Linked DNA regions of Danio rerio. The main gene of each other region encodes a partner of the protein of the gene in region 2 in a complex. Links are inferred from orthologs where the notes say so. Each region holds a gene or a part of one and is shown on either strand. Other genes may lie near its edges. The genes, in order: wtap, mettl3 and rbm15.

Evidence for each region.
Region 1: mettl3 (region 2) and wtap share a complex: the UniProt entries of both Homo sapiens proteins name them as parts of the WMM complex. The link is inferred for Danio rerio from reciprocal best matches to the Homo sapiens genes METTL3 and WTAP.
Region 3: mettl3 (region 2) and rbm15 share a complex: the UniProt entries of both Homo sapiens proteins name them as parts of the WMM complex. The link is inferred for Danio rerio from reciprocal best matches to the Homo sapiens genes METTL3 and RBM15.

What each region holds. Positions count from the first base shown.
Region 1 is NC_133195.1:33,721,989-33,726,018, reverse strand, and holds the start of wtap (pre-mRNA-splicing regulator WTAP), read left to right. Parts: upstream 1-1,227; 5' UTR 1,228-1,384; exon of another isoform or gene 1,385-1,572; intron 1,573-2,154; 5' UTR 2,155-2,162; coding exon 2,163-2,192; intron 2,193-2,287; coding exon 2,288-2,343; intron 2,344-2,434; coding exon 2,435-2,493; intron 2,494-2,646; coding exon 2,647-2,774; intron 2,775-4,030. Other genes in the region: sod2 (superoxide dismutase [Mn], mitochondrial), read right to left, coding at 161-189. UniProt on the Homo sapiens protein: Associated component of the WMM complex, a complex that mediates N6-methyladenosine (m6A) methylation of RNAs, a modification that plays a role in the efficiency of mRNA splicing and RNA processing.
Region 2 is NC_133182.1:21,869,975-21,874,078, forward strand, and holds the start of mettl3 (N(6)-adenosine-methyltransferase subunit METTL3), read right to left. Parts: upstream 2,682-4,104; 5' UTR 2,665-2,681; exon of another isoform or gene 2,662-2,664; intron 2,301-2,661; exon of another isoform or gene 1,962-2,300; intron 1,945-1,961; exon of another isoform or gene 1,860-1,944; 5' UTR 1,843-1,859; coding exon 1,740-1,842; intron 726-1,739; coding exon 538-725; intron 1-537. Other genes in the region: pop7 (ribonuclease P protein subunit p20), read left to right, coding at 2,682-3,128. UniProt on the Homo sapiens protein: The METTL3-METTL14 heterodimer forms a N6-methyltransferase complex that methylates adenosine residues at the N(6) position of some RNAs and regulates various processes such as the circadian clock, differentiation of embryonic and hematopoietic stem cells, cortical neurogenesis, response to DNA damage, differentiation of T-cells and primary miRNA processing.
Region 3 is NC_133183.1:26,684,721-26,688,814, reverse strand, and holds the start of rbm15 (RNA-binding protein 15), read left to right. Parts: upstream 1-1,287; 5' UTR 1,288-1,434; coding exon 1,435-3,996; 3' UTR 3,997-4,094. UniProt on the Homo sapiens protein: RNA-binding protein that acts as a key regulator of N6-methyladenosine (m6A) methylation of RNAs, thereby regulating different processes, such as hematopoietic cell homeostasis, alternative splicing of mRNAs and X chromosome inactivation mediated by Xist RNA.

The DNA.
Region 1 (4,030 bases), on a different chromosome or scaffold from region 2:
CTCGTAATATTACTTACGTAAACTATTGCTGTCCGCTTAAACGCTCAACCAAACAGGTAAATGTGCGCAGGTTATTAATACCGCCATTGATTATATAAACAACATTTGATATTCAGACAGCGGCATATAGTATTAGAACCGATTCAGGCTTTATCATTACCTCCGAACATATCCGACTCTGCACAGCATGCTCTAGTCCGTCACACAGTGATACAAGCGACCAACCAACAGACCTAAATTCGCCACATTACAACCTGCCCTTGAAATTTCAACTTCAACTTGGACTAGACCATACCATTTTGTCAAAATAGGGGTCTGAGAAAATTTTTTTTGTATTTTTATTGATTGCAGACTAAACTATAAAGAATATTTCCGTGTAAAAATAAATTATGAATATTTGAGAGCATAGTATATATTATATATATCTCAAGGGATCGATAGTACTACAATGTAAAGAGGGTGCAAAAACCATGCCCCCTGTCCCAGTTGGTGTAATTCAGTCAGTCATTCTAGGCCTAGGTCCAGAGTGAGACAGTAAATAAATGGTTTCGTTTTAGAACTTTTGTTGCCTGATTTATTAGGATTGTACATTTTGTTTTGCTTCACATTAAAGCAAAATGAATAGCTCAATTTCTTTCCACTTAGTAATTTTGCAAAGAGATTACAAGCAATGGGTTAAGAATTACACAGATCGTAATTCCTATGGCGAATATCTAATGTAATTAACTTGATCATGTATGTATATAGAGAGAGTAAAACGTGTTATCGTTTAGTTAGCATTAAAGCTTACATACCAGGGTTGCCAGATCAATCAAAAGAAACGTGTCAGAAAACAAACCGGATATGAGAAAGGACTTTTGGAAAACACTAAACAGGACACACAAAATATATATTTTAGTCCTTCTTTTCTTGTGCCTTTATTATTGATGTCGTGGTGGTCGGTATGTTTTGTGTGGTAATTTGTCTTTTACAACTAGCTACCTACACCTAACTAACTAACAAAGCAAAAATGAAGTCAATTAATAAATGAATGATTATATACATTAACGTTTGAATGTATGCATGTAAGTTATAAATAAGCTATGTTATCATAATTGTAATAGGTTGTTTGTTGTACTGTAAAAGATGCACTGTTGTTCAATATCAACCTGGCAACACAGTGACAGGAACGTGCTCCTCCTCCTCAGCGCTCGCGCGAACGAACACACTGATGCTGTGCGGCTGAACATCGCGCACACGCTGGTCATGGCGGACGGGCTACCTTTCGTCTAAATAAAAAACGCAACATTTTCCCTATCCCGAGAACTATATTAATAAAAATAACTCTTTCGTATCTCACATTGGAAGACATACGTGTCATTCTGGTCGAGGCGAACCGGCTCTGGTAAGTGGTAGGGATTTAATACGGCTATTTCAGATAAAGTGCTGCTTCTCGGAGAGGGAGAGTCTCTTCCTTCTCCGCCATTTTGTGACAGCGAAAATGCTCCAAGAAGGCGCCGGTACATTTTTATTCCTGTGCGTCTGCAGTCATTTATTGTCTATGTTTTAAGACGAATCTGCATTATCGGCTACGTAAGTTCTTCATGTCTTCCCCGGGAGTAACGAGCACCGTTCCTGAGACTATGAGAATGGCGCGCGGTTGTTTGCGGCGCAGAGCGTTTACCAAGTCAAATCGTTAATTGACGAACTCAATTCGCCTGAATTACGAAACTAACCTTCTTGTTTGGCTATATGAAATAATATTTAAGGGCTACAGTTTGCATTTTTCGATTATAATACGTTAAATGTGCAATTCAAGATGCATATAACGTTTTAGCAGTAAGTTAAGGTTAGGTCAAAATGTTAAGTGATATTTTTTCACATTTTCGCAGTTTAGTTTGTTTCCACATGTTTGCTGCATTTAATTATCAGAAAGTGAATAATTGGCCTTAACTAAGCAAATTCCTCCACAATATCTGTTGTAATTGAGAAACAACAACCTCTCCCTCGCCTGGTGGCCTATATTCGTTATAGCACACGTGTAGGCGTGTGAAATCCATGCAACTGTCTCTAAATCTTTTCTGCATATTGTTGCTTGAAATTGCGTGTGTAGGTTTGATTCATTGATTTATTTGAACTTACTAAGTGTTTGGTTTGTATGCTTCTGTCTTGCAGAGATCAGAATGACCAATGAAGAACCTCTCCCGAAGAAGGTGAGCTCTTTGTCCCAGTCTAATCTGATTATATGATTCTTTCTCCTGAACAAGGTCTCTTTATGAGTCTTTATTTTCTTTTTATGTACTTGCAGGTTCGCCTTAGTGAATCTGACATGAAGACGCTGACTCGAGAGGAGCTCTGTACCAGGTATGTAACCATTCTCTCTCCCGCAAAAACAAAGTATGCAAGTTGAAAGATTCTTGATTGTAATGCTGGTATGTTTTCTTTCCGGGTGTAGGTGGAAACAGCATGAAACTTACGTCCAGATGCTTGAGGCGAAATATGCTGATTTAAACTGTAAGTATGCACATCTTAAATGTTCTGAATAATTCATAGTCTTGAGTGCTTTACTCAAGCACAGAGTGTTCAGTCTTTGTGTTAAAGTAATGTTATTGCATAAAATGAATTGTTGGTAACTAATGCATTTGTTTCATGTTGAAATGTCTGCAGCCAATGACGTGACAGGCCTGAAAGAGTCTGAGGAGAAGTTGAAGCAGCAACAGCAGGAATCTGCACGCAGAGAGAACATTCTGGTGATGAGGCTTGCTACAAAAGAGCAGGAAATGCAAGAGTGTACAGTAAGTTTTTTTTTCTTTTTTTTCTTAATCACTACTACATCTGTTTACTTCTGCTTTATGATCAAGTCTATTCTTGGAAATATGTCAGTTTGTTTGAGTAGTACTGAGTGTCTGAGTTTTGTAGGTGCTGCCTAAGTTGCACACTTCCCTACTATAAGTAGGTGCAAATAGTAAGTTATTCAAAATGAGTATCCACTCAAGAAGAGTGCATGTGATTTGAGATGCTGCTTCTGCTCATGGGTCCCCACCATGATGATTTCTTTTTGTTTACATATAGCAGATGCATTTCTTTTTCTAATGATCTGTGAGACATCAAAAAACATTGCAAATGTAATAGCTGCTATGATCTAGTCAAATGTGTTTTCAAATGTCGGCCATGCAAATTCTAGCTGTAATTTATCATGCTGTACTGAAGCGGATATGAGCATAAATTTTCCAACATTTCAACATGCTGGCATAAAGCAAAACAAATGCAAGTGGTGGCGGATGCAGGCTTGTGCATGTCTACAGTGTTCCACCTTTTACTGCAACTTTCACATTCAGGCACAAACTTTATTTGTAGCAGGTACAAATGACATTACGAATAGGGTTTGGAGTTTCAACTAGACTAGTTTTCATTGCGGTGATTGTTTAATATTGGGACATCAAAGCACTTCAGTTATACAAGCTACTCATTAACTAGACAATGAGCTTGGTATTAAACAGTTGTTTCAAAAATTAAAACTTTAACTGTATACTAGTTTCAAAGCTGAAGTTTTTTATTTATATAAACAGGGTTCATACCATCATAGAAAACCTAGAAAAGTCATGGAATTTTGACATGGTGTTTTCCAGGCCTGCTAAAGTTTTGGAAAAACAAAAGCCACAAAGTTTTGGAAAAGTCATGGAAATTGGATATCTGTATACTTGAATAAAGGTTTTTTACTTTTCTTCCTTGGCCAATCATATACTCTCAAATTATTAGTGCGGTGTAAGCATTATCTAAATCAAATTTACATAGATATAAATTGAAACTAAATGGATTGTTGCGTATTTTATGATATGCTGTAATAAATTTGAACTTGCATTGTTTTTCTTTTACCTCATATATGTAGATAATGCATGAAACATTAGGCCATAAATATTTACTTGTAAGTCTTAGAAAAATCATGGAATTTTATTAGCAAAAATATGTATGAGCCTTTTATATACGTACTTGCATACTCCATTGACTTTTAATTTTTAGTTTGAAATGCTGAGATTCTAATGGTCTCTTA
Region 2 (4,104 bases):
CCATAATAATCAAAAGAATTTTACTGTCGTACCATGGACGCAGCAGGCGCAATGACATTACACAGCACTATTGATAAAAGTAACAGTAAAGTTTGTTAATTGTTATGCCAGAATGCTATTTATTAGACTAATAAGCCTAAAAAATAGCAACTTTTCATTTTCTGTCAGTCTTGTTACACAATGTAACTACAGAAGAGTCAAGCTTTAAATAGGAAAATAATCAAAATACTTTTTTTGAGCAAGATGCTAATAGTCTAATCTGATTCAATTATCTATGCTAAGCTAAGCTAAGCTAAAAGTGCTCCACATAGATATCTATGATTAAAATCGTAACAGTTTAACTCTTGGGGTCTTGTTAAATGAGTCTATTAAAAAAAAAAAAAAAAGAGTAGTATTCCTTTAACACTTTTTGACAATCTAACAGTTATTCTAAAAAAGGGTGGAATAATATTATTAATAATAATAATAATAATAATAATAATAATAATAAAAAGATATGGGTTCAGATTCATAGCTGTTAGTGCACACAGCTCTTACTGTATTTAGCTGGTTGGTGATCGTTAGGGAATCAGTTGGCAGGGAAAGGCTCAGTTCAGAGAGGTATCCCAGCAGCCTCTTCTCTAGCTCTGGGTCTGGAGGATGCTCAACTTCTACTTGTGGAGGACTCTGAATTGCTGGTCCCGGGCTGTCACTTCTTGCAGATCCACTCTCAACACTTCCAACCTCTGTTAAAATAAGAACTGTTAGGAAATTCTCATACAGCAGGTGGCATCATAGACTCACTATTTCGACACCGCTGAACTTTCTTTTAGCATACATTCAAATGTTTTTACCATTTTGATAGTACACTTCTGATAGTATTAGATATTTCCACGTTTAGCATTTGAATTCAAGTAAATAAATCTGATTATATCAGAAACGTGGTTTACAAAGGTAGTTTAATGTTTAGCAAATAAAACAAGAAAAGAAAGAAAACACACAATAACATGCAAAACAGTAAATTATTCATTCATTCATTTTCTTTTCGGATTAGTCCCTTTATTAATTTGGGGTCGCCACAGCGGAATGAAGCGGGATGTCCTTCTAGCTGCAACACAACACTGGGAAAATAGTAAGTTATATAATTTTACATTGAAAATGATACATTAATTATACATTATACATTAAAAATAACAGTTACGCTAATATTTCTCACAGAGGACTGATATCGAACATCTTTAGGTCTAGGATTTGTCAACAACATATTGTTATGTATGTTCTCCAGCTGACAAATAAATTCATACATCACATTTGTCATTAAAGCAGGGAATGGTTGTACTCTTGCCTAACAGAATAATAAAAAAATGAAGCACAATCCTCATAGTCATTTTACACAACCTGCAGCTTAAGGAGACTCTTTCAGCTAAACGTAAAACCACAAAAGAGCTGTATAAAAACAATTACAATTTGCTCTAAAGGGACTTATCTTAACCTGTTATTAATACATAACGTTCTCTCACCTACATATTTGCTTGAGCATACAACTCACGACGTTGCCTGTACATATCATCATTATCTCTTATTTTATTGTTAACGATAAAGATATGCCCTGGATGTTTTACAATTTTTAATACATTTAAAAAGTGATATGATAATAAAAATCATAAAACTGTCTTCTTTGTTTTTACATATCACACAAACAGTTAAAAATACACATTTTATTTTTCAGATATCAGATAATGTAAAATTACTCAACACACCAGTGCCCAGTTGAGTTGGGTCTTTTCTTCTCCTCTGCAGCCTCTCTCGTAGTGAATCCAGCTGCTTTTTGTGCGCCTGGATGTGACTCCATGTGTCCGACATGGCTTAAATTAAACGAGCTAAACAGCAAATAAACAAACAGTACTGATTAAACAGGGGTTTTATGAAGTTTAGATTACATCTAGCAAACTAACGCTGAGTGACTGTACCACCATACACACCGTGCCGCTAAACTGTTTCTATTTTCAAAATAAGAGACACTAACTATATTTACTGATTAGCAACGATCTCGTTCATACAGGTACTTTTATATTTTTACGTATTTTAACTCATATATATTTTTAATTAGGATTCAATTATAACTATTTGATATACGAAATAAAAATAGATATTTCCCCACCAAGAAAAGAACAGTATGTATTTTGTAATCACATAGTGTATTACTTCCAGTGTACGCAAGACGTCTTCCGGAATGAGAGATAAGACAGATCTGTAAATAAGCAGATTCTTTATCTACCAGGAATTAAGCGCGGATCTGAAACAAGCTCTTCTAATTCAAGGTACTACTCTTACTCAAAATCCCAAATTATACATCAAACATTATATATTAAAATCTATATCCACTAACTTAAGTGGCAATGAATTGGAAATGTTTGTGTAAATGAGAACCTGCTTCGTAAACAAAATGTTTCTCGAATGTGATGTGGATGTAATATCTTATTTAATATACAGCGTTATACCCTGAAATATAATGCACGCCCAGTGTATATAGCCATTCACGAATGGATGATTCATATGAGTCGGTTCATTGTGGGGAATCGTTTAAATACATGTCGTTAAAATATAATTCACACATCATTTATATGTAAAATTGTTACGAGTCTTATCTTTAAAACGCGAATTAATGTTCTGTTTGTGCAGCACCTTTCAGGTGATTCGACATGGCTGAGCCACGAAGCCCGGTGTCCGCTTCTGTGCCCCACAATCCAATAGTCCTGGCTGCCCCCGAGGGCTCGACCCTTGAGATGGACCCAATAGAGTTCACCCTCCGCAAGCGACTGCCTCGCAAACTGCCCAAACGGAGGAACGACGTCTATGTCAACATGAAGACTGACTTCAAGGCTCAGCTAGCGAGGTGTCAGAAACTTCTGGACGCTCACAGGGAAATCTGCATCCACGGCCTGGGACTGGCCATCAACCGGGCTATAAACATCGCTCTGCAGCTCCAGACGTCCAGCCAGGGCGCCCTGCAACTCGCCGCAAACACCTCCACGGTGGAGCTCATCGACGACCTGGAGCCTGAAGATCCGGACGAGGCCGGAGAGCATCTGACCCGTACCCGGAATAACTCGGCCATCCATATCAAGGTGTTTTACCCCAATCCGTAGTTTCAGCTTCAGTGTCAATATAATGAATGAGGGCTTCATGAACAATTGTATGACGTTAGTGGCATGTAGAAGTTTTTTAAAGTGATGCATTATTTATGATTTTTTTCTGCTTCAAGACTTTTTTTTTAATTAATTGCTGTGTTATTGAATGTTTTATTTGAAAAACAAGAAAGAAATGTGCCATATGTATTTTTTTCTACTATGTATTTGTGTTCTTGTGTATAGTAAACTTAAATGGAAAGTAAACAGCTTAAATGCAAAGTAAACAGCCCCACCAACACTTTGTTGATTGTATCTTCCTGCATGTGTATGCATATTAAGACAACAATATATTTTAGATATTATTATTATTAATTTTATAAAAGGGATAGTTCACCCAAAACTGAAAATTCTCTCATAATTTTCTTCATCCCTTTACCTGTCAGAAACTTGTTTGAGTTTTTGTTTCTGTTGAACAAGAAATAAGAAGAAAATTTACAAAACTGTGACCATTGACTTCCATAGTGTTTGATTTCTACTTTGGAAGTCGATAGTTACAACATTATAACATTTTTCAAAATATCTTCTTTAATGTTCAACAGAAAGAGGAATCTCATAAAGGTATGAAACCAAGTGATTGTGAGTAAATTTTCACTTTTGGGTGAACTGTCCTATTAATAAGAATATAATGATGGCAAACCAGTATATAATAAAGGTAAAAAAAAAAAATAAATAAAAATAAAAATAAATAAATAAATATATATATATATATATATATATATATATATATATATATATATATATATATATATATACATACATACATACACACACACACACACACATTTAAACATTTTCATCAAATCTATCTTAGTTTTAATAGGAAAAATAAATGCATTTTAATAATTAATTAATAGCCTTGCCAGTACCATGTTAGGCTCCCTTTTGGCTTAAAAAAGGCATCGATTTCTCTTTGACCACATTGCATTTCTGTTTA
Region 3 (4,094 bases), on a different chromosome or scaffold from region 2:
TGCAATGTGCTTCCAAGGGACTATTCCATAAGGCAACATGAGAGGATCTGTGAATGCCAGTGAAGTGACGTAACTGAAGATGTAGGGCACGTGACACTAAAACATGGCTAATCTTGTAGTTCTAGATTGTTCAAACAATACTATGTTCATTATGTAGGGCGTGTTTTCAAAGTATGTAGCCTACTCAAATACTCAAGAAAGTGTTTGATTTTGAATGCAGTTTGTGCATTGTAAAAAATAAATAAATGACACGTTGGCTGTTCAATTTGTCTTCTGGTGAATCAACATTGGATGAATGTGTTTATGTGCATGATAAAGTTTTTAAAATAGTTGTATTTTGTTTTATTATCACTCATTTAAGGTTTTGGACGTTTTTGTATTAAGTTCAAAGCATTGTCCTATAAATATATTCCTATTTTTCTTCATTGAAAAAAATAATAATTTGGGGGTAATTTTTTTTAATTTTGATGGTTGAATTGATAATTGTATAAGTTAAAACTATAATGGTCCCTGAGGGTATGAGTAAAGCATGCAAATTGTAAAACACTAAATTGTTTTAAGATAAATTTTAACTAATTTAAAGGCAATAACATTACTTTTATTTATTTATTTATTTATTTATTTTTTACAATTTAACATAAAAAAAAATTCACAGACATGGGCATATAATCAGAGATCTGCATTGTTTTAGTTAAGAAATTATTTCAGTTATTAGGCTAAAACCAATGGCTAAAACCCATGGAAAATGCTCATCTATAGCTGACCGACATGGTTAAAAGGCTGTTTTTTCACGTCCGTTCACCTCTGTGAAAGGCAAACACCACCATCTGTTGGACATCAAGTGAACAACGAGAATGTTTTAGTTTTTTTTTATTTGGATTACTTACGTTTTATAAAGATTGCACAGTTCATTTAAATTTATAAGAAATAACATGTAGGTGAAACTCAGACTCTTAGCATCTATTAAAGTTAAACACCGTTTAATTTTAAAAATAGCCTATACAAAGCACTCTTTGTAGATTTATCGAGATGATTAATAAATATGGTTTAAGAAGCAAATATAATATTGGCAGTACATGTTCTCAAAGACTATATGTGTGGTTAGTTGAATGTCACCTCTGTGTTTTATAAAGTGGCTATAGTAAACATTTGGCTTTTGAAGCTAAAATGGTGTACAGCGAGACTGGGCGCTGTACTAGTGCTTTAGATTGACAGACGGATCAGCCAATAGCGCTGTCGTTTCTCAGAGATTCAAACCAATCAAAGTCGACGGGCGGGTCATGTTTTAGTCTTGACAAGATGGCGTATGCGGTTGTTTTGCCGCAGGGACACTGAACAATTTATTCAGTTTATCGTGCAAATTCGTTGACGTTGCGGTAGCATTACAGTTAAAAAAGTGTTTTGTTAGGCGCGTGAAGCCAGAGGACATCTAACATGAAAGGTAAAGAGCGGTCGCCGGTGAAAAAACGTTCAAGGGCCTTGGATGATATACGAGACAGGGGAGGAAGCCATCCGACCAGTAAGAAAATGGGGGTTATCTCGAATTCTGGCGGAGGAAGCAACAACGGCAATAGTTCGTCTAAAAGCGACGGGGGCTCTGCACGACGGGGACTGCTTGGAGATAAAAGAGACGGACGGGAATTTGACGGACATGTATCCAGTCGGACTGGTAATAACCACGGTTACACGAGCCCTGTTGCGAGCTCAAGCGGCAAAAATCACGCCTCGAGTCTGTCCTTAGAGGCGGCGCGCACCAACTCGCGCGGGGAGGCGCGCGCACCGCTTCCCACAAACGAAAGTGAGTACAAAACTTTAAAAATCAGCGAGCTTGGCTCGCAGCTGAGTGACGAGGAAATCGAGGACGGCCTCTTTCATGAATTCAAAAAATTTGGTGACGTGAGCGTCAAAATCAGCCGAGTGAACGACGAGAGAATCGCATTCGTCAACTTTAGGAGACCGGATGATGCCAGGGCGGCAAAGCACGCACGAGGCCGGCTGGTGCTCTACGACCGTCCTTTAAAAATCGAGGCAGTTTACTTGAACAGGCGGAGGAGTCGCTCTCCGGTGAAGGAGGATCATTTCTCTGTTGTTGCAGGCCATAGACATTTGCATACTCAGAGGCCGCTCTCTCCAACCGGCCTGGGCTACAGGGACTACCGGTTACAGCAGTTAGCACTGGGTCGGCTTCCTCCTCCCCCACCCCCGCCTCTGCCCAGAGAGCTGGAAAGAGAAAGAGAGTTTGCCTTTTATGAAGCGAGGGCGCGGCCCGCATACATAGCAGAGCGAGCCGCTCCTTTCCGTGAGGAGGACTTTATCTCTCCAGAGGACGACCAGAGAGCCAACCGCACACTGTTTTTGGGTAACTTGGATATTACTGTGACTGAAAACGATTTGAGGAGGGCTTTTGAACGATTTGGGACAATCACTGAGGTGGACATTAAAAGACCCACTCGTGGCCAGAGCAGCACCTATGGCTTCCTTAAATTTGAGAATTTGGACATGGCTCACAGAGCTAAAATTAGCATGTCTGGGAAAGTTGTGGGCCGAAACCCCATAAAAATTGGATATGGTAAAGCCACCCCAACCACAAGACTATGGGTGGGTGGTCTTGGCCCTTGGGTGCCTCTGACTGCATTAGCCCGGGAATTTGACCGCTTTGGAACTATTAGGACTATAGACTACAGAAAAGGGGACACCTGGGCTTATATTCAGTATGAAAGCCTGGACGCTGCTCAGGCAGCCTGCACACACATGCGTGGATTTCCTCTTGGTGGTCCTGACAGGAGGCTGAGGGTGGACTTTGCTGACACAGAGCATCGCTACCAACAACAGTTCTTGCAGCCCCTCCCCCTGCAACATTATGAAATCATGGCTGAGTCTTTCGTTCATCGTGCCACCCCTGAAGCCATCAGGGTCAGAGAACGGACTCCTCCGCCACTGCACTTCAGAGAAAGAGAACTCTATGCTGGGGCTGAGTGGCCAGCACCTACTATTCGTGAACGTGTACGAACTCCTGCATTTGAGCCCCTTGAACACTTAGAGCGTGAACGACGGCGAGAGGCCTGGTCACTGGAGCGAGAGCTGCCAGGCAGAGAAGCTGCACGAAAACGGCGGCTCATGGAGGACGGCAGACATCTGGAGTGTTCGCCTGACAGCAGCAGTGAGTGGGCGGCCCGCCGTCGCAGACCCCCGTCGCTTGAGGGCAGCCCAGGCGGCAGCAGCCGAGACGGACGTTTCAGTGACTCTGAGCGTCCAGCGAGAGCAGACCGGGTGTCCCCAGCACGAGAGAGCCGCAGCAGCCTGGACCGAGTTCCCGGTGAGAAACGCATCAAAAGCAACAGCAACCTCTCTGAGTCCAGCATCGGCGCAAGCCCTGCAGAACGAAAGCGCAAAGCGGGCGATTCAGCTAAAGGTGCATCCAAGAGGGACAGATCCGAAAGCAGCTCCAAAAGCAACCAAGCTTCAAAACAGGACGCAGGGGGGAAGCTGAGCATGGCCTGGAATGGCATGCTGCTCCTCAAGAACAGTAACTTCCCAGCCAGCATGCACCTCCTGGAGGGGGACCTGAGCGTCGCCACCAGCCTTCTCATCGACGGCAGCACGGGTGGAAAAGTCTCTCAGCTGCGCATCACACAACGGCTTCGTCTAGACCAGCCCAAGATCGACGAGGTGTCTCGGCGCATCAAAGTGGCAGGCCCAGGAGGCTACGCAGTTCTACTGGCAGTTCCAGGCAGCTCTGAGGAGACTTCATCATCAGACCCAGCAGCATCCACGCAGAGGCCTCTCCGCAACCTGGTTTCATACCTGAAGCAAAAGCAGGCCGCCGGGGTCATCAGTTTGCCCGTCGGCGGCAGTAGAGATAAGGACAACACTGGCGTCCTGCACGCATTTCCACCATGTGATTTCTCTCAGCAGTTCTTAGATTCTTCTGCGAAAGCTCTTGCCAAAACAGAAGAGGACTTCCTGGTCATGATCGTTGTGCGAGGAGCATCTTAACAGTCATAATACACACTAAAGTATTGTTAAATGCAAGCTTCTCTTAATGTCTCTTAATTGCATGCTCTCTAAAGCAGAAGTGGTACTAGAGTAAAGGG